Linked DNA regions of Diceros bicornis minor. The protein of the gene in region 1 interacts with the protein of each later gene in a pairwise test. Links are inferred from orthologs where the notes say so. Each region holds a gene or a part of one and is shown in the gene's direction. Other genes may lie near its edges.

Region 1 (7,940 bases):
CCTTTTAAGGCTATTCTCTGAACTGCTGACCTTCTCCTACCCCAAGTTGCCTGTGTATTTAGATGCTCCTCCTGTGCCTCTAGCCAAGGAGCTGGCTGGAGCGAGCAGCTTCCGCCAGGAAATTACAAAATTAGACCCAGGCCCAGAGTAATGAGGGTGGCACAAGCTGCGTTTATGGGAGAGTGCACATTTGCAAGGGGAATGCAGTCATGTTCTGGGTTTGAATCCCAGTTCCACGACCTACCACGTGTGTGATCTTGGGCCCACAGCACACCTCTCAGTTTCCTTATGTCACAGCACCCCAACTGTCACTTTGTGTATGTTTTGGGGTTAAAAAGAGGTGAGCGATGGAAAGCCCTTTGCCCCTTGCCTAACACATTGTAGGCATTGGATGTGAGAAGAAACTGAGTCAGGAAGGAGGAGCAAGACAATGGTTGTAATTTGCATCAGAATCACCTGGCAAGGTAAGTCACATGCCCATTCCTGGACCCACTCCCAGAGTCAGACGCAGCAAGGCTGGGTGGGCCCCTGGGATCTGTATTTTTAACAAGTGTCCCCTGCCCAGAGGTCTCTGCTGCAGGGGGCTGGGGCCACTGCACTTGGAGAAATAGAGGATCCAAGGGGAAGGAGTGGGGTCTCTCCAGACATTAGCTTCTCTCTCACTGGAAGTTTCTATAGTAACCGTCTCAGGGAGAGTCCAACCTGGACTTGTGTTCCAGAAAGGATGCAGGTAGTTTCTGTGTTTGACCTTCAATCACATTTAGAAGAGCAATGGATACATTTTTCTCACTTGGATAATGCAATAATCTAGTAACGTGAGTATTAAAATAGTTCAAATTTAGTTAGCACTTCTCATGAGCCAGGCTCTGTGCGAGTACTTTATCTGTGCTAATAAACACAAAGTGAAGTCATTATCCCCATCTCACAGGTGAGGAAACTGAGGCCCAGAGAGGTAAATTGGCTTGCCCAAGGTCACATGGCCTAAAAGTAGGGATTTGAGTCCAGGCAGGCTGGATTCCACAGCCCATGCGATAAGCTGTGCCCCCTTCAGGATATCATCACTTTCGGGTATCCTGAGGACATTAGAGGTGAGGGTCTCCAGCCGGCGTCCATGCTTCCAGTCAAAGGCTGAGGCACTGGGTGGGAATATGTGACGGACAAGTGTGAGGGAGTGGGGGACATCAGCCAGTGATGGGTCTCTGACTCACTAGGGCCCCCAGCTGCCACCTGGGAAATCTATGACTCAGCTGTGGGGATGGGAGACTCCTGGAGTTCAGGTGGCTTCGTTCCGTTCTCAGCACAGGCCTGGCCTTACCACTGGGCTGTGTGGCCTTGGGCAAGGTGCGTCACTCTCTGAATTGTGCTGTGAAGGACAGCTGAGACGGGGTTATGCCCCGTGCCCAGCAGGAGCTCCCCCTGTTGTAATCACTCGGTAGTGTGGAGGCAGCTGTGGTGACGTACCCTGGGTTTTGCCACAGCCAGATTCCACGCAGAGGGTAGGAGTGCACAGCTGGTGCAGCTCCCCACCCAGCAACCATCCCCGCTTCTTCCAGGAAGGGCATCTCCATTTTCACTTGAACAGATGACTTGTGCTTCTGTAACTTGTAGCTGGGCTGATTCCAAGAGGAAGTCAGAAACTTACATCTATTGAGTGCCAGTAGTGTCCCAGGCACTGTACATGATGAAATCATTTAATCGTCAGGACAAGCCTGTAAAGCAGGCTTGTAGATGTGGAAACTGTAGCTCAGACTGATAGCCCAGCCCAGCCCATCTTTTGACCAGGAGTGAGCCTTTCAGTTTATAACTAAGAGTGACTTTTCTTGGAGGGGCATTTATTCATTCAATAAATATTTAATGAGAGCCGACCGTGTGCTAGGCATGGTGCTAGACCTTAGGGATAAGATCCCCACCGACAAGCCCCCACCCTCATGGCGTGCCCACTCCAGATGGCACAGAGGTTTCTCACAGGTCAAATCCAGGTGGCAGCAGCTGCCTGTCACATTATGAGGATTCTGAGCCAGCTCTGGGCTTGGCAGGGTGCTGTCAGGGAGTTTCTGCGTGTATGCTGCATGTTGGATACCCGTGTTTTAGACTTTTGAAGACTACTCATACAAATGCATATAACAAAGCAGAAATACATCCTGGTCAGAGCACAAGTTCCAATTTTTATTTTGAAAATAGCCACTGTAGATCTAATTAGTAGGCCCTGCCCTCAAGGAACTTAGGGTCTAATTGGTAGCCTAAGGTCCACAGGAACAGGACAGCCTGACCCAGAGCTCAGAGCTGGGGCAGGCCACACAGATGCGGATGATCAGGGAGGCTTCCTGGAAGAGGAGCTCAGTGGACTTGGCTAGGTGGAGTGGGGGCAGGGGGAAGGCATTTCAGGAGAAAGCAGCAGCACAGGCAAAGGTACGGAAGTGTGAAGTGGGTGTGAGGTGGAGGTGGGAGAAGAGAGGATTCTGGCCTGGCTGGGGTAAGGTGTTGGGGGAATGAAGGTGAAAAGGTAATAACAGGGGTGGACCACGGAGGCCTCAGTGTCAGGCCTGACCCTGCCCCTCCCCCTCCACCCCCTTTCACTTGGGAACCACGGAAGACTCCGAGCAAGGGCATACCCAATGAGATATTTCTTGGTGCCTGGAATAAGGGGAGAAGTTAGAAATGGGAGGTGGCTATAACACCATGGAATGAAAAAGGGCCCCTGCACGCAGGTGGGGGTTAGGGGACCTGGCTTCCAGTCCCTCGTCTATGCTGACGTGCTGTGTGGCCACAGGCAAGGCCCTTACCCTTCTGGGCTGGTCTCCTTCTCGGTCTTCTCTTAACGGCCCTTTCAGACCATGACTGAGTGAACTCAGGTGTGTGTGTGGGGGGTCACTTGGCTCAGTTAGGGTCTCCATTTTCTACTTTTCTTTGGCCTTGAAGACCTGGACTAAGGCGAGTCCACCTATGGTTTACCTCAAGCTTCAGGCTCCTGTGGCTCAGCCCTAGGCTGTGTCCACGCCTGAGCTTCCAGAAGCATTTGTCTCACAGAAGAGAAAACATGACCTTGGAGCCACTTTCTGGCTGTGTACTTTGAGATGGACTTGGCCTCTCTACTTACCTCACAGGCATGATACACACCATGGAGATAGTGCCTTTAAAGCTGCCGGGCACACAGGCAGCACCTCTGCGCTCAGCGGGCAGTAAGTGCTCAACTGGTGGCGACTGCCTTTCTTGCTGTTGCTCCTATCGGGGCTCCTGTGTGGGACTCTCGGCTGTAAACTTCTCAGAGGCTGGCAGTGTCTCCTCCATGGGGCTGAACACCAGCTGGGCCCCCAGGCAGGATCTGACACCCAAGGCTAGTGCACCTCTGCCCAGCTAGTCACGAGGACTGTGACGTGAGTCTGCCTGGCCTGGTGAGCAGCCCCACCCTGGGTGGGGGCCCTGCGTCATTCCTCATGGGACTGCCCAGCACATGGGTCCCAGGCCCTCCCCAGGCACCATGTGTGACAGGCACCTCTGTCCAACCAAACCCACCAGGACCTAAACTAAATTCCTCCCCCTTTTCTGTTTAATTTTATATGGTTCTTTTTGGGATAGGTAATACATTCAAATATTTCAAACTTTAAAAGGCACCAAAAAGTGTGCTATAAAAATAAACCCCCTCCCAACTCAGCACACAGCCCCCTTAGTTCCCCTTTCTGGAGACAACCAATCTAAATTCCTTTTTTTTTTTTTTTTTTTTAAAGATTTTATTTATTCATTTTTTTCCCCCCAAAGCCCCAGTAGATAGTTGTATGCCATAGGTTCACATCCTTCTAGTTGTTGTACGTGGGACTCGGCCTCGGGTTGGACAGAGAAGTAGTGCCTTGGGGCGTGCCCGGGATCCGAACCCGGGCCGACAGCATCAGAGCGCGCGCACTTAACCGCCAAGCCACGGAGCCGGCCCTAAATTCCTTTTTTTTTATGGTGAGGAAGATTGTCCCTGAGCTAACATCTGTGCCAATCTTCCTCCATTTTGCACATGGGACACTGCCACAGCATGGCTTGATGAAGCCGTGTGTATGTCCACGCCTAGGATCCAAACCCTGCGAACCCCAGGCTGCTGAAGCGGGGTGCACGAACTCAACCACTACGCCACAGGGCCAGCCCCCTAAATTCCTCTTTAAAACAATTAAACTTAATTTGCTGCTCCTCCCTTAAAAAAATCGTAAGTATTCAAAGCAAAAACTAACTTCAAAACAAAACAAAACAAAATCCCACCACCTTGGAATCTACACAAAAGTACAAACCAAAAATCACACCCACAATCCCACCACCATCCAGATTTTCTGCACTTTAGTATATTTCCTTCCAGACTGTTTTCAGTACTCATCCACTTTTCAAAAACGAAAACCAAACCCAAAATCAGAACCGCAATTCTGATTTTTCAATATCTTGCAGTATCTCAGGAACATTTCCTCATGGTGTGTTTCCTTAAGCGACTTTAACAGCTTGGTGAACTTCCATAGAAACTGGCTTATTGGGCCAGACCCTAGTGATGGGCATTTGGGATTTCCAGATTCCCCTATTATAAGCCACACAGCGATGGGCCCTCATTGCCTACTTGTTTATTTTCTTGTAACAAGTTCCTAGAAGCAGCAATACTGGGTCACAAGGTTTGGCCATTTTTTAAGACCCTGGATACCCATCAAACTCCCCTCACATTCAGCAGGACCAGGTGTCCAATCCAAATCCACTTTCCTCAAGGCCAAGTCTTGTTCACACCCCTCCCAGCAGCAGCTGTGTGTGCCCCCAACCCACCTCCACTTCTAGAGTAAGGCCAAAGTCCTCCTCCAGGCCTGGCCACCTGCCTTGTTTACCTGGCCCATCCCAGTCCCAGGTGAGTCAGCTGAGCAGGGTAGGCGCCACCCTTCCCAGAGCAGGAACTCAGCTGGGACAAGGGCCACCACTTTCCAGGGAGAGGAACAGACACTCTGGGCAGTGGCGGGAGAAGGACGTGCAGCAGCAGCTGGCCTGCAGGTAAGAGCTGGGCTGGGCCCGTCGTGGCTGGGACAGGGAGAAGCGAGACTTGCTCTTACCTGCCTCATTCCCACCCTGGCCCGCCCCTTCTGGGACTTCCAGGCAGTTTCTTCTCAAGGTGCTTCACTCTGGGAGGGAAGTATGACTGGGGTCTCCTCTTCTGACTCCAGCCCTGGGCCAGGAGTGAGGGCTGAGTGACCTTTATCCAAACATCACGAGGGCCCCGGCTCCTTCTGACTGCGTATGACAGTGCTCAAGGAGGTCGGACCCCCACTTTGCTCCTTGAAGTAGGCCTTGGAAGGCCAGGCAAAGAGCCAATCCTCAGCTTCTGTTACTCACTTCTTTGCCTGAAGCCATTTCTACCAACAACGTCCTACCATGGCAGGGAAAATCTGCTGGGGAACTGGGCCGGTGGCCTGACCTCTCTGAGAACTGGTTTCCTCATTTGGAGACTGGAAATATCCCCACGCAATCAGAACTGAATGAGATAATGACCTAAGACATCAATATGTGCCCTCCACACAGCAGTTTCAGAATATGGTGCTTAAAATGAGGCTGCTGTGTGCCAGGCCGGCACCACACTGGCTGCTTCCCACCCAGTGGCCCAAACTAGTAACAATTCTAACACCACCATGGCTTCTCACCTAGGCTCCCTGCGTCCACCCTTGCCCCTCTAGTCTGCTCTCCAAACATCAGCAGAGGGGGCCTGTTAAAATGGAAGTTGGACCACGCCACCCTGCTGCTCAAAATTCTCCAGTGGCTCACATCTCACTAGAGTAAATGCCAAGTCCTCACCATGCCCCAAAGCCCCTACAGGATCGGGCCCTCACACCACTTCTCCCACCTCCTCTCCGGCTACTCCCCTCTGAACACTGACTTAGTCTCACTGGTCACAACAGGCACTCCCACCACAGGGCGGCCACAGCGGCTAAGCCCCAGCCTGAATGCTCTTCCCTACCACTTTACTCAAAAGTCACTCTCCACCCACCTTCCCCGCCAACAGTGAGACTCTTCTGGACCTCCTGACAGTCTCTATCCCCCATCCTGCTCTATCTTTCTCCCCATCACTTCCCACCATCTAACACAGCATACCCACTTATTTATCTACCTAGAAAGTGACACTCCGCAAGGACAGATTTTTCTTTTGTTCACTGCCTTATTACTGGTACCTAGAACAGTACTGGGACTTGGACACTCAGTACATGTACTGAATAAATGAACAATAGCTAACGATTACTGCATGCCCTTTACGTGCTAGGTACTGTGCTGGGTGCTTTCCAAACACATCTGACCTCTTTTTAAGAATCTTTTAATCTCCACAGTAACTCTGTGATGCAAGTATTGTTACCCATATCACAAAGGAAGAAATGACACTCAAAAGGGACTTGTCCATGCTTGCTCTCCCGTCAGAGGCAGCAGTCTGAACGCGGTACTGCCTGCCTCCAACATCCTTGCTCCTGCCCTGGCCCTCCTGGGCCTGGACTGGGAGCCTCTGCATTCCTTGAAGTCCACAGCTCTTCTCCAGCAGGCAGTACAGCCCTGGGGGGAGGGGGTACATGCTGGTGGCCTAGCAGCAGCCTCTTCCTTCCCACCCCTCCATACCCCGGGGCTAATGTGGCCTTCTAGGAGCTACTCCTCTGACACTCTAACCCATGCCTCCCTCCTGCACAGTCTCCTGAAGGATGGATGAGGTGTCCACAGCAACAAGTGGGAGTCCCAGAGTTTCAGCTCTCTGGAACAAAGTGTTCTGAAGGAGTGTTCTTATTCCAAAGATGGGGGCTGCCAGCCCCTGCTGATCTCTGAGGACCCGACTGCTGCTTTGTTGTGGGTGTTGGTTGTTATTGCTTATAATACCAAAGAGTACAGAAGCTCAGGGATGGAAATTCTGCAAAGCACAGCGGGAGAGGAAAATGCCTCTGGGATAGATGGGTTAGATGGCTTCTTTTCCTTTCAGAGGAGCCAATTAATTGCCAGAAGCCAACAGCACTGAAATTGAGCAAACTCTTCCACTGTCAGATTGTAGGAGCCAACCTTTCAATCTACCTCATTGGGGCAGTGGTTTTTCTCTTTCTAGGCCCAGGGTTTTCCTTTAAAGGACTTTTTTGGGCTTTCCTCTGCCCTCTGTGTCTGCTTTTGCACTCCTTTAAGAAACAGGGGCCGGCCTCGTGGCTTAGCGGTTAAGTGCGTGTGCTCCATACTGGCGGCCCGGGTTTGGATCCGGGGCGCACACCGACGCACCGCTTGTCCGGCCATGCTGAGGCGGCGTCCCACATACAGCAACTAGAAGGATGTGCAACTATGACATACAACTGTCTACTGGGGCTTTGGGGAGAAAAAGAGGAAAAAAAGGAGGACTGGCAATAGATGTTAGCTCAGGGCTGATCTTCCTCACCAAAAAAAAAAGAAACAATAACGCCTGCTGTATGCCAGGCACTGGGTGCAGCACTGGGGATTCAGAAATGAGCCACATTCCTGACCAGAGAGGGAGACAGGCAAGAAATACAACACAGTGGAAATCCAACCCAGGAAATGCAGGGGGCCTTGATCACAGGAGGTGCTTAATAAACATTAGTGGAATGAAGGATCAACAGGTGAATATGAGATTCTGTGGTCTAGAAATGGGAGGCTTGCCTAACTGTGTGTGTGTGGATGTGGGGATTTGGGGGAAAGCTTAGAATTGAAGGAAGAGCAGTTCACCAGATGAACAAGGGGGAAGGAGAGGGCATTCAAGACAGAGGCATCTGCAAAAGCACGTAGGCGTGAACTAGCAGGGTGAGTTCTGGGATCAGCAGTGTGGAATGTATTAAATGCAGCGTGAGTGTGGAAGAGTGAGGAGGTGAGATTGGAGATGGTACCAGGAGTCGGAGATTTGAATGCCAAGTTGAAGTTTGAGATTTATCCTGAGGGCAAGAGCTGGGTATGGCTTCAAGAGCAGGGTAACT
Region 2 (5,407 bases), on another chromosome or scaffold:
GAGTGGGGAGTCAAGGCCAGATCTATTTTTAAGTCAAGTACAGAAGGCAGTATGGAGTGGTGGGCAGTCTTCAGCATGGGAATCAGCAATCTTGGGTCCAGCCATGGTTCTTCCGCTGCCTGGGTGAAGCCCTTAGACAAGCGTCTTGACCTCCCAAAGGAGAGGGGCCAGATGGTTCCTGAGGAGCCTCCCAGGACCACCACTCACGTGATGAGTCTCCCGCCTTTTAGCAGCCCAATCTCTTTCTTCCTAGAAAACAGGAATTGCTTATGGAAAGACGGTTTAGGAATGCAGTCAGAAAGCATAGGAGACCAGTCTGGAGGAAAAATGGGAGAGAACCCCCACAAATCTTCAGGCAAAACCCAGACCATCCTCAGAACCAAGATGCTCCCTTGTTTCCCAGAACTGATTAGAAAGAGGTGAATGGAGTTGAGGTCACTTCTTCCTTTTTCTCTGAAAACCACCCCTTGGCCTTGGGCTCTTTGTTTCTCTTTATTCCCTACTGGAGACACCAGATGAGTCCTGAGCTCAGAGAGCTCTGCCCCTTGGTGAGACCCCTCTCTCTGCAGCTCTCGCCCCCACCAGCCTGTCCCTGAGCCCCCCTTGCCTGTCTGGACAGCAGCAGCAGCAATAACAGCAGAGAAGACAGGGTGTGCACGTGAACAGAGTAGAAGGTCCCCACTTCCCAGCTGAGGTCAACATCTGGAGAGACTTAGGTTTCAGAGAGGGATTCAGTCTGAGTCATCGACATGTGTGAGGACTGTCAGCAACTTTTCCATGTTCCCTCTTAATAAGCCCCAATTCCTGGCCTGCTGGGAAGACTCAGCCCTGGGAAGTCCAGCCCTTGGACTCCCCAGGAAAATTAGTGCAGTGAGTTTGAATTGGAGAGGCAAGATGGGACCCAACTAGACACCCAAAGCCTGCCCCTTCCTAACCTAAGAAAGGGACCAGTGGGAGCGCAGGCCTCCAAGCCCTTCCCTGCAATGCCACTTTGGCCATCCTTCTAGGAGATAAAGACACCATCCTGTCCATCCACCCTGTCTCCAGGCAAGATAGCACTCAGCCCCAAAAGAGAAGGAGCTGATAGCTCTTCTTCTAAAAAAGACAAGAATTCATAAAGTTCTCTCTTTATGTCCCAGTAGCTATCAGAAAATATCTATTTCCTTTCATCAAGAAAAACAAAAGCTAAGATCCACCAGGAAGCCATAGAACGGAGGAAACAGGTTTACTGGAGGGTCTCTGCTACTCCTGTGCGGGGTTATTTGAATTAGCTCATATAGTCGCTCTGCACCTCAGTTTCTTCATCCAAAAAGAAAAATAAAAAAGAGAGTACAGAAGAAAGGGTGAAGAGACGGTCAGCAGACTGGATTAACGGACAGTTCTCAAGAAAAGGCCAGCTCCGGGTCCACTGGGGGTGAGGAGGGAACTCATTGTGCTCTATCTAAATTGCCATTGGCTCAAACAACACTGGAGCAGACATGGAAAGAGAAACAGAGACAGGCAGCAGTGCCTAATGCTCAACCCTGCTGTGTCCTCACTCCAGGAGGTCTGACCCAGAAGCCAACCCAAACACCCCCACAACCCCACTCCCGACCGGCCTGCGAATTGCCTCCCCTGACACTGGGCTTTCTGCTGCTTGAGTTTCTCAGCATGGTGTATGAAACCAGACCTTCTCCTTAACCCTAGGCAAAGGGGACTTCTTTGTTTATTTGGTTCATCAGCTCTCAAGTCTGGCTGCCTTCTAACCTGTGATCTCAGCTTCTCCTTGGCAGAGTGGGTCTTTTGGGGATGGGAGGGATTGGGGAGAGAAATATTATCCAGTCTCCGGGACCATCCAGAAAATGCCTCTCAAACTAAAGAGGCCAGTTCCTCTGTGAACGTTTTAGCCAGCAGGCTCAGGCATGAGAGGCCAACATGGAGCACCAGAGGGCCTGTTACGGGGACAATGTTCTTTTATCTAGAAATGCTTCCCTTATCTAGAAAAACCCTTCCTTATGTAGAAATGCTCTCACTTGGTATACAAAGCCACTCCGTGTTAAACTGTCCTCAAAACACCAAAGTAGCTAGGAGCTAGAGTGAACAAATGTTTATTGACCACCTACTATAGACCGTGTCAGTACCTGTGGGAAACGCAGTAGAAGTAAAAACTACAGCCCTAACTACAAGGAGGTACCGCAAAAGTCAGATCAGCTCAGAGATCACCTAACCCGACCAGCTTATTTACAAAGTAAGAGACCTGAGTCCGGAGAAGTGATGCTCATAGTACAGTCAGGGCCAGAGCCAAGACACATTGTTTCCTGTTGAAATCAGACTCACCAACGTGACACAACAATGTAGGCACAAAAGACAGCCTTTCACATAGTTAGGGCTGACTGTTTAGACTTTGAGGACAATATTACCCATGGACTTAGGACAACTTTCAAAGGACAGTGAAAAATTGAAAAATCGGGGATATTTTCCTTGGAGAGGTGGGAAAAAATGGAGTGGAATAGGATAGTCAGAAAAATAGAAGGACTTTTTATTTATTCAACAAACAGTCCACAAATTCTGATTGGGCTCCTACTCTGTGGCAGGACTGTTCAATGTCCTGGGAATATACAGCAGTGAACACAATTTTTAAATTCCTGCTTCCACGGAGCTTGCTTGTAGGAGGAACCTCTAGGCTGGAGTGGACAGAAAAGTTCCCAGGATCCAAGGAGTCATGGTAGCAGCCTGATTCACAGACCCCCTCCCTCTCTGGGTGAATAACAGTCTCAACAGAAGGTCTCCAGAGAGACCTGCCTGGACACAGGAAAATGGAAAGTGTCTCACTTATGATGGCTCCTCAAGGAGTCTGGGTTTCAAAATCTTATCTATAGACATCAGAAATACAGAGAGTGGGGTTTGAACCACATTCTCTCTTCTTTTCAACAAACTTTTGCTAAGAACTTCCCACATGCAAGGTGCTTGGTTCTTGAATGAGGATGATGGGAGGGACAGAAAGAAGAAATAGTTATCAAGTTCACTAAAACTTGTTTCAAAAGGACTCAATAGAAAGTATAAAGGAGGAAGAAGAAAAGGTTAGATGATGAATCCAACATCAGGGAGGTTGGGAAAGGTGGATTATCTTCAGCTCAGACTTCTGCTCTGATCTCCAGACCCATATACCCAACAATCACTCAGTATCTCTATTTAGAAATCTCAAAGGCACCTCAAACCTGATATGTCTTAGACCAAATGCAGGCTCGTCGCTGTCCCCATGCCTGGCCTTTATCCTAGTGAGTGGCACTAGCATCCAGATAGCTTCATTACACTGCAACAAAAGCCACGCCTTTGACACTCTCTGCTCTCACCAACTAAATCCAATCCACCAGCACATCTTTGTCTCCTGTCTACATCTCTATATCCCAATCAACACTCTCCCTGGCCCACGCCTAAGACACTGTCAAATATCTCTCTCCTGAATCAGTACTATTGGCAATAGCCTCTCCTATTCATTTCTCTTCCCCATAAACCCATCCTCCACCCAGCAGCCTCTAATCCCATCACATCATCCTCTTAAACATTGTTCCACAGTTTCCCAACGTACTTGAGCCTGGTCTGGTCTCTGCCTCTCTCTCCAACCTTATCCTGCACCATGTTAGGATGTAATTATCCTGCACCACATTGGGAAGTAATTATTTACTGAGTTTGTGTAGATGTCTGATTAATGGCTTTCTCCCTAACTAGGTTGAAAGCCCCCATGAACACAGAGTTTATGTCTGTTCATATCCACTATTTTCCTAGCACCTAAGTGCATGGCATGTATTATGAGATCAATAAATATTTGCTTACTGAATTTTTTAAGTGGTTAAGCCAATGGTTCTAACCAAGGGTGAGAACATTGTCTCCCTCCAAGGCAATGTTTGGAAACATTTTCGGTTGTCACATCTGCAGGGGATCTACTAGCAACTAATGGGTAGAGGCCAAGGATGCTGCCAAACATCCTACAATGCACAGGACAGTCCCACAAAAGTACTTAGCCCAGAGTGTCAGCAGTGCTGAGGTTGAAAAATTCTGATTTAGATGAAAGAGAAGGAATATTTATATTTTGACCATGTTGAATTGGATTTCCTAGAGTCAAGTTCTTGTAGACATACATTTGTTATCTCCTAATGCTATAAAAGAAACTCAAACACACATGCATATACACACACTCAACAACCATTACATTACATCTACAGGCAGGAGATGCATTCTAATGGTCTCTTGTACTCCTCAGAGGCCTGGCACAGGGCTGGAATTTAGTCACTCAATAAACTTTCCTGTCTGGAAAGCCTCATTTAACATAAAAAGGACCTCAAAATTGAAAGTAGCCTTGAGCTGCACTAAAGGGGCAACCTTATTTCACATATATGACCAAAGTGTAACAAAGGCTGGTGACATCACAATGGAGCCCCGCCCACCTGCTGAGCCACGCCCCTTCACAGTCACAATGGCTAAAGCCTTAAATACCCAGGCCCACGGCCTCCGGGCCCTGCAAAGCCCCCCATTTTGGCAGAAATTACAATGTCGACCAGCCGCAAATTAAAGAGTCATGGCATGAGGAGGGGCAAGAACCGAGCTCCCTACAAGGGAGTCAAGAGAGGTGGCGGCAAAAGAAAATACCGGAAGGGCAGCCTGAAGAGTAGAAAACGGGGTGATGATGGTGAGTGAGGGATGAGCAGGAGAGGGGTCAAATTGGGGAACCTGTTGCCCAGGGGCCCTCTTTCTTGGAGTTAGCTCTCGTAGCACCCTGAAATCTCAGCCTGAGAATTTCATTTCCAGTTAAATTCACATTTGGGCGGGAAGAGGATGAAAGGGTATGTTCTAACTGGTGTCCCTGTTGCAAACATGTCTTTCCCCCACAGCCAATCGCAATTACCGCTCCCACGTGTGACCCCAGCAGCAGGCTCTGCCCTGGTGGAATTCAAGCGACGCCAGGCAGGGAGAGGACAACAGAAGGGGGACTGCCAAGGAGACCTGAAGTCAGATCAAAGCCAGAGAGAGCCTATCGGGTGGATAAAATGCCAATCATGACAAAATGAGGAATGTATATGTTGGCTGTTTCTCCCCAACGTCTCAATAAAATTTTGAAAACTGAAAAGTATGTTTCCTTTGATCTTTTTGTTCAAAAAGGGGTTCCTGAGCTAGGCAGACTTGGGGAAGAATTGGCCAGTATGAGATCATTAAACTTGACTTGGAAAATATCAAAGTAATTTATCCTTCTGAGTCTCCCCATGTGCCCCAACTATGGCTGTGCACCATCACCCTATTTAGGTCTTGGTCTTGATGCACTATCTTCCTCTCCAACATGGAAAGGTAGAAGAGATTATGGGAGAAATGCATTCATCAGAGTGCCAATTACAAGCCACATGATACAAGCTGGTTTTAAGTGACTTATAGCACA
Region 3 (7,281 bases), on another chromosome or scaffold:
TTTTTTAGTATACTTTGTGGAAACTATTTAGCAAAAAGAAGAGAAGATATTGAGCCACTAGTAAATACACAGCTTAGAAATGATGCCTGAATGATTCCTATTAAGAATATTAAGAGGAGGGTCGGCCCGGTGGCACAAGCGGTTAAGTGCGCGCGCTCCGCTGCGGTGACCTGGGGTTCACCGGTTCGGATCCCAGGCGCGCACCAACGCGCTGCTTGGCAAGCCATGCTGTGGCGGCGTCCCATATAAAGTGGAGGAAGATGGGCACGGATGTTAGCCCAGGGCCAGTCTTCCTCAGTAAAAAAAAAAAGAAAAAAGGAGGATTGGCAGATGTTAGCTCAGGGCCCATCTTCCTCACACACACACAAAAAAGAATATTAAGAGTATAATTCACAACATAGTACTATTAAAATCAATCTAAAATGAACTTATATTCATAATATCCAATAATCTTTTGGTGAAAATTAGTAAAAGTGTTTGAATCTCAATAAATGTTCAAGGAAATATATAACACACTAACTTACCTTCAATATGTGTTCCTTATAATGGATGCTGTAACACAGAACTGTCCGAAGTAAACTTGAACTTTTCACCTTTCCACAATGAAATCAGGCAAAATAGGCTACTGAGACACAGACCAAAGATGCAAGTAAATTGCAGTACTCACACTAAACTCTGTCATTAAAAAAATTGGACTATCCTAGAGTGCTTTGCAGCAAATTGGTAACTCCAGCAAACTTTCTACAATTCCTGAATAATCTAACTGTAGGATAAATGGTCTGATTTGTCATTTTGACTATAATATTTGATCACACTGGCACAATGATCTCATTTTTTCAAACTAAAAATTGGCATACAGAAGGACTGCCTCTGTACCTATAAGGATACATGTATACCTAAGGCATCAAAACCCATGCTCTCAACTCTTTTAAATCCAGACCGTATTTCAGCTTACTAAAGCAGGCATCCTCCTTCAAAAACCAAGCCAAGATAAAATCTAACATTTCTTTTCCAAGAGATCATGAGCTGTGTTCAATGAGACCAGTATATGCTTATATGAGTGCAAGGGTGGGGGATTCACCCTAGGCTGAGCAGGCAGGGGTATTGGGAGGAAGGCCATCTGGGCCTGGACCACTTAACCTGCCTCACCTTGGTCTATCACTCTGCTCCAGACCTGCTTTTCCAAACCTCAAACAGACCAAGGTTGTTAGTGCCCTCAGACTTAGGCAGTTGCTGTTCTCTCTTCCTGCCTATCTTTACAGGGATGGCTCGGATCTCAGCTCCAATGAAACTTCCTCAGAGAGGCCTTCACTGATAGCCAATGAAAGTTACCCTCCCACCCCCTTACACTGCCCCTTAGGGTCATGTTCCATTATACCACCCTATTATCAAAGCAACAACCATTATATTACTTTCTTATTTATTTGCTTCCCACATTAGAATGTTAACTTCCAAAAGAGCAGAGATCTTGGGACCTTGTCTATCTTGTTCATAACTGCATCCCCAGGGCCTGAGACATAATAAGTGAATGAATGAATGAATGAACAGGTTTTAAAAATTATTAGGCCAACACCAAATGTGGTGAGGATATAGAATGGCCAGAATTCTCATACACTGCTGAAGAGCATGTAAATTGGTAAAATTACTTTGGAAAATGGGCAGTATCTAGTAAAACTGAACGTATACATATCCTATGACCCACCAATTCCCACAGAATATACCCTACACAAAAACATACATATCATCAAAAACATGAACCAGAATGTTTATAGCAGTACTATACAGCAATGAAACGAAACCAACTACAACTGCATACAACATGGGGAAAAAAATCTCACAAAATAACAATGAGCTAAAGAAATCAGACACCAAAAGCATACACACTATATTGATTCCATTTATATGAAGTTCAAAACCAGGTTAAAGTAACCTATGGTGTTAGAAGTCAGAATAGAAGGTAACCGAGGTGACTAAAAGGGAGCATGGTGGGGAAAAGGGGCGCTTCTGGGGTGAGGTCATGTGGTTTCTTGATCTGGATGCTGGTTACATGGGTATGTTCTCTTTAAGAAAACTCACTGATGATTTATGATTTGTGCACTTTTCTGTATGTATGTTATTTTTCAATAAAAAGTTCAAAAAATTAATCAGGAGTCCTTCTGAAGAGGCAGCATAAGAAAATCATAGTAGATGTCAGGCCTCTTTGGACTGTCACCCCAGTTTCTCACCCTCAATCTACCACCAGCAGAGAGAATCCCCAAGAGGGGTGATGAATGGGGTAGAATGGCAGGCCCGACCAACTACAGGCTCTCTTAGTTACAGATACCAGAAATCTGGAACATACACACCATCCAGTCCAGGGGCCACACCCAAGGAAAACAGATAAGGGAATTGCGGTGAAAATAATGATAGCAGATACTTATTGAGCCAATATGACAGAAGGTGGAGCCAAAATACATGATATATTTATCTCATTTAATCCTCACAATAATCCTAGAACAGCACTAGTACACACTAAGCGCATAGTAGGTACTCATAATAAATATTTGCTGAATGAAAGGTAGATGCTATCATCACTTCCAGATGATAACTTGTCCCAATGTTATACAGGACGGCACAGCCTTAATTTAAACCCTGATTCCAATGACTGTGCTCTTAACCACTTCACATTACAGCACCTTGTGTGCAAGTAGATGCTAACATATGACTGAGAGAGCTTGCTTCTGGTGTGCTTATTCAGCAAGTCAGGGTTCCCAGTGACTGAGAGGTCAAATGGGCCTCAATTTCCTTACCCATAAATGGGAATAATAATTGAATCTTCCTTTTATTCAACCAATATTTATTGATCACCAATTGTGCGCCAGGCACTATTCTAGGATTACTGAGGACTAAGCGAGAAAATGCAAAATGGTAAATTCATTCCCCTACTCCCTTAATCCCTTGCATTTATTTGTAAGGGATAGTGGTTCTACTTTTTTTTCCCCCTTACAAATTCGATGAATGTTATGAAACATATACAACTCACACAAAATTTTGCATTCAATTTCAGGAGTTTCATAAACCTTCTAAAGTCCACATATTGCCCTCTGTTACAGTTAAAAACTGTTTGCAAAGGGACTTAGTAAAACTATGCTCTCACATCAGAAACCTCCATCGGCATTCACAAGAACCCAATACAGCAGAGAAGAGGGTACCATTTTTATAAACAACTAAAATCGAAATCTGACATATCTACTCATTGCAGTTTCACAGACAGAAGCCCGGGATAAGAATCTCGGATCTCATGCCTCTAAGTCCAGTGCTTTTTCCAACTGTCAAAATAGAAGGACTTTCTATTCTAGGGTTAGACTAGAGGAGGTAGAAGAGATGCTATTAGACTTCTCTCCTGAAAAGGTGGATGAATGAGAGCCCAGCAGTTAAGAGCAGCTCATCTGGAAAAAGGAGCCCAGGCCGCAGAGTCACGAAAAGCGACCTCAGCAAGTCTCTCTCTCTGCGCACTTGCTACAACCGTAAAATGGGATGATAACTTCTGCGGCTCCGACTTCCCTGTGGTGCTTGCTACACTACAGCTCAAAGGAGGAAAAGATGCGAATGCTTCACAAACGCAATGCAGACAGAAGGGATGGTTAAGACCATTATTGAGAGTCTCAGGGCGCTGAGGACACGAATGTTCAGGCTTCTCTGCTGTTGGCTTCCGGCTTCCCCACCGCAAACTCGCAGTCCCTGGAGGAGCGGGAAGCCTTTGAGAAATAGGGATGTGGAAGAGTCGTGCTCCTAATGGGCTTAGAATAGAGCCTGGCATTCAACAGGCGCTTAGTAAATATCTGCTGATTGAATCAACGACTGAGTGAGTCTACAGAGAACAACTTCCTCCGTCCCCGCGGCTCAGGTCGCCGCCCTCCAGCCCGCGGGACACCACACTCACCGGGCCCGGAAGCTTCCTGGAAGTAGGTGCGAACCTTCTGCTTCCCACCGTCTCCGCTTCAAGAGCTCGTGGAGCTGCAGCAACTCTAACCCACCCCAGCTGGGCTCCTCTTAGGGCGCCGTGCGCACGCCCGAGCCGTAGCGAGCTGCTCGCCAGGGATGGAAAGAAGGTGGAAAAAAGAAAATTTCGCGCCAAACGTTCCGTCATCACCCGCCCCGCCCACTGGGAGGGGACGTATGACGTGAGTCGGCCAACGTGCGGTGGCCATCATTGATTCGGTCGCCGACGCCGTTCGCGGAAGGAAGTTCGTTACGCTGCAGCATTTCCGGTTTCCAGACGGTCGCCTAAGCTGTGTAGTGAGACTTCCTCCACCTTTCTCCATCCGTCTCGGGTTTTCTGTAACCGGGATGTGACGCGTTCAAGGACCCGACGGAAATAGAACTGAAGGCGTTCTAAAATGGCGAATAGAACAGTGAAGGATGCGCATAGCATCCACGGCACCAACCCTCAGTATCTGGTGGAGAAGATCATTCGGACGCGAATCTATGAGTCCAAGTACTGGAAAGAGGAGTGCTTTGGCCTTACGGGTGAGCGGGAGCGCGCGACGCCCCTCGGCCGACTTGTGGCCCACTTCGGCTGACTGGGCGCGGGTAGACTTGCCCCGTGGGGGTGAGACTGGAGGGAAATTTGTCAGTCATTCGGAAAAATCTGAGCGCCTACTATGTGCCTAGACTTGTGTTGTTCTTTGGGGGACACAGATGAATCTGATAGGGCCTTATTCGGAAAGGTGTCTCGGTTGGGTTCTTTGAGTCATTCCATGTTTAATGATAACCTGCTGGGTTCCAAACAGTGTTAAGTTCAGAGACCCTGAAGGTCTTAAAGGAACGTCAACATACCGGAAACCAAATTCATGATCTTACTATCCCTAAATCTGGACCATTTGCAGTATATCCACGTTCGGGTCCTAATGTAAATGTCGGTTTTCAAAAACGTCTTCCAGCTAGTCTTTCAATCTTTGAATTCTGGCTCTTCTAGTAGCAGTGTTACCCCAGTGAACCATGGCTTCCTTTATCTTAAAACGAGTGTAATACCCACCTCAAAGGGTTGTTTTAAGGATTAAATACAATAATGTATTAAAAGTGTATGGTATGGTCACAAATATATATTAATAAAAAGTACTCAGTAATCAGTGGTAGTGATGGTGCTAGTTGTTACCACTGTTAACTGCTACTGTGCTGTTACTGCTGCTGCCACCACCGCTAGCTGTGTGTCTGTCCATGGACAAGTCATATTGTTTCTCTGAGTCGCCATTAAATTTTGAAGTCATATAAGGTTTACTTTTGGCCGTTTTCACATTCCATAGTTCTCTCCTTGGAAGATCTCCTCCATACCACAGTTACATCCTATACGTAGATACCTTCAAATTTCTCTCTCCAACCCAGATCTCCAACCCTGAGATCTAAATCTCTAATTCCAGGAATACCAACTCAGTATGTCCAAAAGTGAACTCATGACCTCTTTTCCCCCCAGTACCAGGTTACCTTCCCGTGTTCTGTATTTTCATTGCATTCTGCCTCTTCTTTCAACTACTCGTCACACTTTGAATTATTTTTCAATGCTTTCTGGCTTGCTAGACTATAAACTCCTTAAGAGCAGTAATCGTGTCCCTCTTCTTTATTCCTCTACCTGTATCTCTAGTACCTAGCACCTAGCTATAAGTTGTCAACTGTAATTTTGAATGAATTAATATAGAATTTATCCTAAAGGAACTTGAAGTCTGATTTATAAAATGATTTCCCATTAATGGTAGCTAACATCTATTATTTGCTATGTGACAGGTAGGTATTAACATTTATTTGTATTGTCTCATTTGATTCTCACTGTAGCCCTTAAACTTTGTACCTTTATTATTCAAATTTGAACTGACAGACTCAAAGGGAGGTGAAATGACTTGCCCTAGTTCACACTGCTAATGTTTGATTTTGACAAAAACGTTGAAAGGTTATTATCCCCATTCTGTAGATGAGAAGAGGTTTGCTCAAGGTTATGTAACTATTGAGGAGTTTTTTGTTGTTATTGTTTTGTTTCTTTTAGCTCCTAATCTGGCCATTTTTCCCCTAACATGATGATGACAAGCAGGGACTCTGAAGTTAGACTGCTTAGATTTGAATCCAGGCCCTGCTACTTTCTGGCTGTGGACCTGGAGCAAGTCACTTAACCTTTCTTAGCCTTCATTTGCCTTAGCTAAAAGCAGAAGCAGTGCTAGAATTTACCTCATGGCTTGCTGTGAAGATTAAATGAGAAAATATGAAATGCTTAGCAGAATACCTGGCATATAGTAATCCTTAAGTGTATACTAGCTGCTATCATTATTATTATTATTACTATTATTGTTAATACACACTTGTTCTCCTAATCTTAAACTGTTGATGAGTATTCAGGAGGACCAAACCTTGAACTAACTTCTCTCCACTTCAAACCGGGAAAAGCTTAGCCCTAATATGTCTGAGATGCCACTCTATTTGTTTTTGTTTTTGTTTTTTTAGCTGAACTTGTAGTCGATAAAGCCATGGAGTTAAGGTTTGTGGGTGGTGTCTATGGTGGCAACATAAAGCCAACTCCCTTTCTGTGTTTGACCTTGAAGATGCTTCAAATTCAACCCGAGAAGGATATCATTGTAGAGTTTATCAAAAATGAAGATTTCAAGTGAGTGAAATGTTGACTAGCTAATATAAAAGCTTCAATTTTGGTGGTCCAGAATTTGGCCTTGCTTAAGAGGAGTGAAAACAATGTGTCTCCTTTGCACTGAGAGTTCTACTCTAGGATCTTGCTCTTGAGCTCTTGAGTTTGTATTTTGTCTGTTCTGGTTGTATTGATCTTGTCCTTTACTTTCTCCGTCCCGGTAATTTTTCCTACCAAAAAGTATTTCACAAACTCACTTAACATATTTTAAGCAGAAGTGAGTGCCTAACATGTTGGGAGCACTGGATACTCAACAGTGAAGAAAACAACAGAGTGTGGTAGATAAAAGTGAAAACTTTGATGTTAGATGTAGATTCATGTCCAGACTCTGTTACTTATTAACTGTGACCTTGGAGAAGTTACTTAATTTTCTAAGCCTTACTTTCTTTACCTGTAAAATGGAGACAGTAATACCAACTCAGGCTTGTTGTGAGGAATAAAGAAGATAGTACGGTAAATCTCATAACACAGTGCCTGGTACATGGTAAACACCTCAAAAATGTCAGCTGCTCTTATTATTTTATTATCCATTCTTTTTTTTTTGTGAGGAAGATCAGCCCTGAGCCAACATCCATGCTAATCCTCCCCTTTTTGCTGAGGAAGACTGGCTCTGAGCT
Region 4 (7,538 bases), on another chromosome or scaffold:
CAGGTGCGGGTTTTTTCTCCCATTTCTGAAGGCAGGGACTGGATTCATTCTGCCAAAATTTATCAGCTAGGGCTCTGGGACTTCGAGCAGTTTTTTGCGCTGAGGCCATCAGAGTCTAGTGGAGGAGATCAGCCCTCAGTCCAAGGTGTGGTTCGGGAAGTGCAGGGGTGGCGGAACTCCCCCCAAGGCAGGGGCTCTGTGCTCAGGTGGGCTGGCCTGTGGAGGGAGAGGTCCCGAAAGCTGGGTGGGAGCTACTGAGTGACGTGAGCAGCAAGTTTTTAGAATCACCACCCGCAGAGTATGGGAACTCGACTAGAGTGGCAGTGGGGACCAGGCAGGCCATTGGGATGGTCTGGGCTGGACTAGACTGCCCACGTGGTGAGGGGGTGGCGGAGGTGGGGGGGTGGTGTGAGGGGAGGCTTGTGGCAAGTATTCAGGACATCTTCCCACTGTGCGTGTCCAGAAGAACACTGGGAGAACGTGGCCACTTCTGGAGTGCCCACCAATTCCAGAAAGTTCTGGCAGTCATTCAGACGCGTTCATTCTCCAACCCAGCCTGTGGCACAGCTTCGGGTGTGAGTCCAATGCATGAAAGCCGGGCTGCAAGGGATTTGGGGGTCACAGGGCAAGGCTGGGACGAGGCCCCAAGTGGGTGAGAGACAGGTGTGGGGTCACGCGTCCAGATAGAGCAGTGTGAATGGGGCCTAGCCTTGCCCTTTCCTGTCTCTTTGGAGGGCGAGTGTCTGCCACATTCAGAAGCCAAGGGGACTCCAGGTGTCTTGGTCTGCTCAGACTGTCCCAAGAGAATGCCGCAAACCAGGTGGCTTATTTTCCACAATCCTAGAGGCTGGAGATCCCAGCCCAGGGTGCCAGCAGGGTCGGGTTCTGGTGACGGCTGTCTTTCTGGTTCATAGACAGCTGGTTTTTTGTATCATGTTAGAAAGAACAAGTTCTGGTCTCTGTTTTCTTACAGGGGGGCCCCGTACTTATGACTTCATCTAATCATCATCACCTCCCAAAGCCTCACTCCTGATGGATGCCATCTCATTGGGGCTTACGGTTTTGACATGTGAAATTGGGGGACACAAATGTTCAGCCCATAACACTGGGTCTTTGTTCTCCCGGAAGTCAGCTTCCTTCCCGATGCCTGTATGCAGCACCTGAGCTGCATGGCCAAGCCTCATTAGAGACGGCTGTTGATCTCTGTTCTTAGCCATCTGGGAGCTTTGTGGTGCGCTCACTCCCATGGCCTCTTCCTGGACGTGGTGGAGGACTTGCTCTGACCACATCCTGGCCTGGCCTGGGTTGCCGGTTGCCCCTATAGGAGCTGGCCAGCCTGGGCCACATGGGCACTCTGGTCCCAGCACCAGCCGCTGACCAGCGCGTGTGTGTCTGCAGCCTGGTGCGGCAGTGTGTGGTGATGGGGGCCACCCCCGCGGGCCGCCGCCTGCACACGTCCTCCCGGAGGGCTGACAGCAGCAGAGCCTGGCTCACGCGCGTGCACCGGCAGGCCTATGCACGCCTCTATCCTGTGCTCCTGGTCAAGCAGGACGGCTCCACCATCCACATCCGATACCGGGAGCCTCGACGGATGCTGGCGGTAAGCTTCTCTCCCTAGCGCTCCTTGGGTTGCAGGTCCTAGTGGGCTTGGAACCCCACTGCATGGGGAGGGAGGATGAGCCACGCAGCAGGATTGTTGTGTGAACCAGGATGGGGAGGAGGCGAACCCGGGGCTCACTCCATGCACCGAGATCACACAGCAGCAGGGAGCTGTGGGTTTAAAAAGAACCAAGTCCTGGGAGCATAAGCACAAAAAGGTTCTTAAAGGAGTCAAAGTTCCAGAGGGAGAGAACGCCATAGGCCGCCTAACCCTGACCTGTGCAGTGGAGGAGAACAGGAGGCGTGAGCACATCCCAGTGCCCTCCCTCCCTGCAGATGCCTGTGGACTTGGATGCCCTGTCCCCAGCGGAGAGGCGGGCGAGGTTCCGGAAACAGGAGGCCCAGCTCAGAGAGGAGGAGGAGCAGCCAGAGCTTGCTGATGACTTTGACGTGGAGCGGTACAAGCGGTTTTGGACCAAAAAGTGACCGTGCCTGCAAGCTGCCCAGGCCTGGGACACTTGGGGGGACGTGTCTTTAAATCATGTGTTCATGAAGCCACCTCTGCCTGTCTTTCCTTGTTGTCTGCCCCACCCCCAGCCGTGAGGGGGTTCTCTGCGACTCAGCCAACTAGAATGCTTAGAATTGGGTCAATTTGTGTTTTAGGACGAGGTCCACAGGGCATGTAAGCCATCCACATGGGAGAAACAAGACTGAGGTTATGGGTGCTCCTTCCTGTGTGGGAAGTGCCCACCACCCGAGTTGGCCCCTTGGAGCCTAGAGCCCCCTTGCCCCCAGTGCTGCCCTCAGCCTCGGGGCACAGTGGCTGTGGAAAGTGGGTGGGAAGAGACGGATACCTGGGATCCAAGGACACCCTGCGAAGCCTGCAGCAGGCCTGCCTGTCCCTCCCTGGGCTACCTCAGCCCTACCTGACACAGCGAGAACAGAGGGGCCAGGGGAAGCGCCCAGTCTCTGTGGCTAACTGCCCTTGGTTTGCAGCCCACTGCAGCTGCAGTGAGCCAGGCCTTCCACAGTTCACTAACACTTTTGTGTTCCAGGGGTTGGTTTCACCCTGGCCAGGCTTCCTGCAAGACCCAAGGGGGCAATGCCCGACCTTTCCAAGTGCAGCTGCCCGGGCCCAGGCCTGGGGTTGCTCCTCATCCTGTCCTGGGGCCTCGGGCTCTGGGGCGTTGTGGGACCCTGGCTGTCAGGCTTTTTCTCCTAAATCTGAGAGCCCGTTGCAGACCACCCCATACGGATGGGGGCTAGCGTTCCAGGCATGAGCAGGGAGGCAGGAGCTGGCAGCCTATGGGGGGGGTCACTGCATCTGACTGCAGCTGGTGGGGAAGGATGCTGGGCTGAGCACCCACCTCTGGACTCCTCCTGCAGCCCTCACCCGCTGGTCCACTGCGAGCAGCGGCCAGGTGCAGCTGCACCTGTGTCTGTGCCCTCCAGTCGCTGTGCCCTCCAGTCGTTGCCCTCTTGCCTGCTCAGGGACGTCTCCCCTGCAGTTCTTGCCTCATTCCCACCTGGAAAGCCTTCTTGGAGCCCCCCCCTTTGCTCAGGGTTGGGGCACAGCCGTGGGTGCAGGGGCCACTGTGGGCATCTAGCAGTGGGAGAGATGGAGTACAGCATGGACAGTACGGATTTGTAGCCCAGGGGCAGGATGGGGTTGGCGATGGGAAATTACTAAGGGGACTCATTTGGATGGGGGGTGGTTCTGGCTAAACCCATGTAAGGGGATTGTTGCTGAAACCAGGCTGGGTGGTCATTTGTCCAAGGGGGACAAGGAAGCTGATGAGATACCAAGGGTGAGGATTCTGGGTAAGCTGACAGTAGGGTTCTTGCTGGAAGCCGGGGGAGGCAGAAATGGACCCAGAGCCCAAGGCCTGGTTGGAGGGCTCCGGGGAGCCAGAACAGAGCACTCAAGCAGAGAATCCCATCTGTGCCAGCTCCTTCTAGGTCGTGGGGGCCTCCTGATGCGACCCCCAGCCCCTCCGAGGCCTCCTCCATCTGCTCTCGTCCCTGGTCACCCCACCCGCTTTAGGGAGTTCAAATGCTGTCTGCGCTGAGGACCCCCAATGTGCAAATCCCCGCCACTGACGGCACCCTGCTCCTCCCAGCATCTAGTCCTCGTCGAACATCGCAGGGCTGCCTCCCGAGCCTGCCTCGCCCATCCCGGCCGCCATCACGCCGTGCCCCACACCCTCCTGCCACGCCAGGCTCCTTCCTCCCGTGAAGGGACTCGGTGATGAGTCTGCCTGAGCTGGGACCCCGCAGAAGGCACGCCTGTGGCTTTGGACCTGCTGTCCCATGCTGCGGGACCTTAAGCGGGAGCAGGGGCAGACCTGGAGCACCCATTGTGGACGCCCACCCAGGCGAGCCTGTGCTCTCCGGGCCACACGTGGAAGCCTTTCCCCACCGAGAGGACTCAGTGGTAGGGCATGACACACGTTGGGAGCCCCAGAGCCCCCAAAATGCAGGCGAGGGAGTCAGAGAAGGCGGGGTCAGAGGAGAGCTGGGCGGACGGCCTGTTCTCACTTCCCTCGCCACTGCCCGGGCAACGCCGAGGCAGCGAGTGTGCGCGTGCTCGGGGCGTGCGGGTGACAGCCGTGCGACACCCTGTCCCGGTCCCTCGGAGACCCTGCCCGGCGTCCCGCGGGCCGCAGCCCTGCCGAGGTTTCCCGGGCCGTTATCGCCGGGACGCGCCGGGTCGTCGGTGACGGCAGCGGGGACCCGGGCGACACCGCCCTTCTTGGCACCGCCCGGACATCCACATGCTTGACTTCCCACAACAGCCATCCCGCCGACGAGGCGCTCGGCTCCCGCTTCCGCATCTCTGCACGCGGTCCGGGGCCGGGGCGGGGCAGTACGCAGGCGCGCAGGGCTGGCGCGGGCGTGACGTCACGGCGCGCGACGCGGGAGCGGAAACAGGCGCTGCCGGGGGCGGAGAAGCCCGGGGACCGGGAGCCCCGAGGGCGGTGGGCGGCTTCGCACCATGTTCGGCTCTAGCCGGGGCGGCGTGCGCGGCGGGCAGGACCAGTTCAGCTGGGAGGACGTGAAGACCGACAAGCAAAGGGAGAACTACCTGGGTGAGCGAGGCGCGGGGCCGTGGGCGCGGGGACGCGGGGGCCGTGGATGCGGGGACGCGGGGGCTGTGGGCGCGGGGACGCGGGATCTTTGGGCGCCGGGACTCCGGGGTCGTGGGCGCGGGGGCCGTGAGCGCGCGGACGCGGGGGGCGCGGGGGCCGTGGGCGCGCGGGTGGGTGCCGCGGGGCCTAGGGGCGCGCCGACCCGCGGGCCGAGTCCTCGGCGCTCCGTCCCGCAGGCAACTCGCTGATGGCCCCGGTGGGCCGCTGGCAGAAGGGCCGCGACCTCACCTGGTACGCCAAGGGCCGGGCGGACGGCGCGGGGCTGAGCCGGGAGCAGGAGCTGGCTGCCGTGAGGCAGGCGGAGCAGGAGGCGCTCATGGCGGCGCTGTGAGTGCGCCCGGGGTGAGGGGGGACCTCGGGCGGGCGGCTAGGGAGGGTGGTTGCGGGGCCATGGTGGGGGCGGGGGCCGAGGTGAGGCCCACCGCTCCCTGAAGCTCGCGCGCGCCCCCCGCAGAGGCTACAGGAACGTGAGGAAGCAGCCCACGGGCCTGAGTAAGGAGGTGAGGGTTGGGTCCTCTGGGAGAGGGTGCGGGAGGGGGTGGGGCTGACCCCGCGCTGCTTCTAGCCCTGCCGCCCGCGCTCCCTCACTCCCCACAGGACTTTGTCGAGGTCTGTAAGCGGGAAGGAGGTGACCCCGAGGAGAAGGGAGTGGACCGGCTCTTAGGCCTGGGAAGCTCCAGGTGCGGGGCCAGGGGTCCTCTGGGGCCCCAGGAAGCGCAGCGGAGGCCTGTGGGTCTCACTGTTGCGGGTGGCGGGGTGTGTGTGTGTGTGTTTCACCCTGGGGTCGTTCTCACTTTGGGGGGCGGATGTCTCACTCTGGGTGCATTCTCACCGTGAGGGGGTCTCACCTTGGGGGCGGGTCTCACTCGTGTCCCTGTAGTGGCTCTGCAGGCCGAGTGGCACTGTCCCGAGAAGACAAGGAGGCTGCTAAGCTGGGGCTGTCCGTGTTCACGGTAATCACCCCCAAACAACCGCAATCCCGGAGGGCATCTGGGTCCTTCTTGTTGAGGGTAGGGGGCGGCCTCCCGGCTTCCTGGCTCTGAAAACCGGGGCTGGTTCTCCGCGGTCGGCATCTCAGTGCCTTGCACACCCCCAGAGTGGCTTCCCTCGGCAGCACCACCGCGTGGAGAGCAGTCGGCCAGGGGCCTCCCCGGCCTCGGCCCGGAAGAAACCTCGATCAGAGGAGAAGACGGAGCCGGGGTAAGGGCCTCCCTGGGGAACAGAATGCAGGGTTCTCTCTCTCTGCACTTGGCTGCCTCTTCTGTCAGTGAGGTACCTAGCTCTAGTCCCTTTTTCCTTCTAGAGAGCCCCTTCGGGTTGGGAGTTGGGAATGGTTCCATGACTGTCCTCCAGCACACAGCAGGGGTCAGGCAGCCACACGGTGTGAGAGCTGCCAGGGCAGCAAGGCAGAGGGCCATGGAGGAGGGCAGCCAGACAGGGGACGTTGTAGTCAGGCCTCGGGCCCACCACCGCCTCCTGCTGTCCTCTAGGCCGCAGGAGCTGCATGTGGTGCAGGGCAGGGCTCACTGCCTGGCTGGGAGGGTGTGGGCAAGCTCGGTGGGAGGGAGGGCTGGAAGGGGCCGTGAGACCATTGGGTTGGTGCTGCTGGGCAGAACCCTCTGCCATGACGGGATGCCCGTATCTGCACCGCCCATCACGGCAGCCATTGGCGCAGGTCATACTGAGGAGCTTCACATACTGACCTGAGAGCGACATAAGCACACATGGTCAGTGGCTGTCCTGGAGACTGACATGAAGCTCTGGGCCCTGCCCCCCCGGTGAGCTCCACAGGCGCAGTGGCTCCCGGCACTCTGTACTCCCCACAGCCCCGAGAGCCACAGGAAGAGGAGGAAAGAGAAGAAGAAGAAGAAGAAGAAGGAAAAGAAGAAGCACAAGAAAGAGAAAAGGAGAAAAGAAGAGCAACACAGAGCGGAGGCGGCCTCCTCGCCACCCCCAACTCCCACCGGGTAGGCAAAGCTCTGCCTTGGGGGGCGGGCAGGGTGGGGCAGGCGGCCCTCAGACCTGTGGGCGTCACCTCATCTCCCCAGGCCCCGGCACCGCAGGCATGACTCCGACTCTTCCTCACCGTGCTGCAAGAGGCGGCGACGGCAAGACGGTGACTGAGGCCCAGTGGCTGGGGCCCTGCCCCACCACGCTGCTCTGTGGGCCCTGCCCAGAGGCCCACCCTCAGCGAAGCTTCCTGGCCCAGGAGCTGGAGGGCTGGCATGCAGGGGCCCTGCTGGGAGCTGAGAGGGGCCCAGACCCAGCAGGGGAGGACGTGCCTGCCTGGGAGGTCCAGCTGTCCAAGACCCCTGAGATGCTTAGTTGTAGCTAAACACAGCTACATTTCTATTTTTCTTTCTGTTGACTTACTCTTTGTACTTAAATAAACTTATTTTAAGGAGAAAACATCTCGTATTTAAGGGAAGGTCATTGTCATGTGTCACAGTAGAAGGAGGTGTGAAAACGTGGCGATTGTCTTGGGTTCCAGTGAGACATCTGATGCCCCATTGGGAGGGGGAACTGTCCTGGCGGTTGGCATTCCGGACCTCATGTGGGCCTGGCCCTGAAAGTGACTTCAGGCGCACCGGGAGCCCTGGGTCATCATGTTTGGCCAGCAGGGAGGTCACAGGAGCCAGAAGGTACCCAGCTGCAGGTGGGCGAGCACGGAGAGAGGAGTGGAAGGCTAGGCTGGGCCTTTAGATCATGGTGGGGGGTGGACTTGTACCCGGAACCACCCTTGTCCCCACAAGGCCACCAAGGGACCTCCTGCCCACTGTTCCACAGCTC

What was found. The genes of interacting proteins can lie anywhere in the genome.
Region 2: the proteins of SDCBP2 (region 1) and TNP1 interact in binary tests that used the Homo sapiens proteins (3 or more experiments, as listed by UniProt). The two-hybrid records come from large-scale screens. The link is inferred for Diceros bicornis minor from reciprocal best matches to the Homo sapiens genes SDCBP2 and TNP1.
Region 3: the proteins of SDCBP2 (region 1) and PRPF38A interact in binary tests that used the Homo sapiens proteins (3 or more experiments, as listed by UniProt). The two-hybrid records come from large-scale screens. The link is inferred for Diceros bicornis minor from reciprocal best matches to the Homo sapiens genes SDCBP2 and PRPF38A.
Region 4: the proteins of SDCBP2 (region 1) and C1H1orf35 interact in binary tests that used the Homo sapiens proteins (3 or more experiments, as listed by UniProt). The two-hybrid records come from large-scale screens. The link is inferred for Diceros bicornis minor from reciprocal best matches to the Homo sapiens genes SDCBP2 and C1orf35.

What each region holds. Positions count from the first base shown.
Region 1 is NC_080758.1:29,372,505-29,380,444, reverse strand, and holds the start of SDCBP2 (syntenin-2), read left to right. Parts: upstream 1-4,940; 5' UTR 4,941-4,998; intron 4,999-7,940.
Region 2 is NC_080776.1:7,490,592-7,495,998, reverse strand, and holds TNP1 (spermatid nuclear transition protein 1), read left to right. Parts: upstream 1-4,527; coding exon 4,528-4,666; intron 4,667-4,868; coding exon 4,869-4,897; downstream 4,898-5,407. UniProt on the Homo sapiens protein: Plays a key role in the replacement of histones to protamine in the elongating spermatids of mammals.
Region 3 is NC_080752.1:14,733,757-14,741,037, forward strand, and holds the start of PRPF38A (pre-mRNA-splicing factor 38A), read left to right. Parts: upstream 1-4,271; 5' UTR 4,272-4,379; coding exon 4,380-4,509; intron 4,510-6,468; coding exon 6,469-6,628; intron 6,629-7,281. UniProt on the Homo sapiens protein: Involved in pre-mRNA splicing as a component of the spliceosome.
Region 4 is NC_080740.1:360,009-367,546, reverse strand, and holds C1H1orf35 (multiple myeloma tumor-associated protein 2), read left to right. Parts: upstream 1-4,528; 5' UTR 4,529-4,594; coding exon 4,595-4,688; intron 4,689-4,924; coding exon 4,925-5,075; intron 5,076-5,202; coding exon 5,203-5,248; intron 5,249-5,345; coding exon 5,346-5,428; intron 5,429-5,628; coding exon 5,629-5,701; intron 5,702-5,844; coding exon 5,845-5,948; intron 5,949-6,574; coding exon 6,575-6,715; intron 6,716-6,796; coding exon 6,797-6,872; 3' UTR 6,873-7,159; downstream 7,160-7,538. Other genes in the region: MRPL55 (large ribosomal subunit protein mL55), read left to right, coding at 1,346-1,600, 1,936-2,085.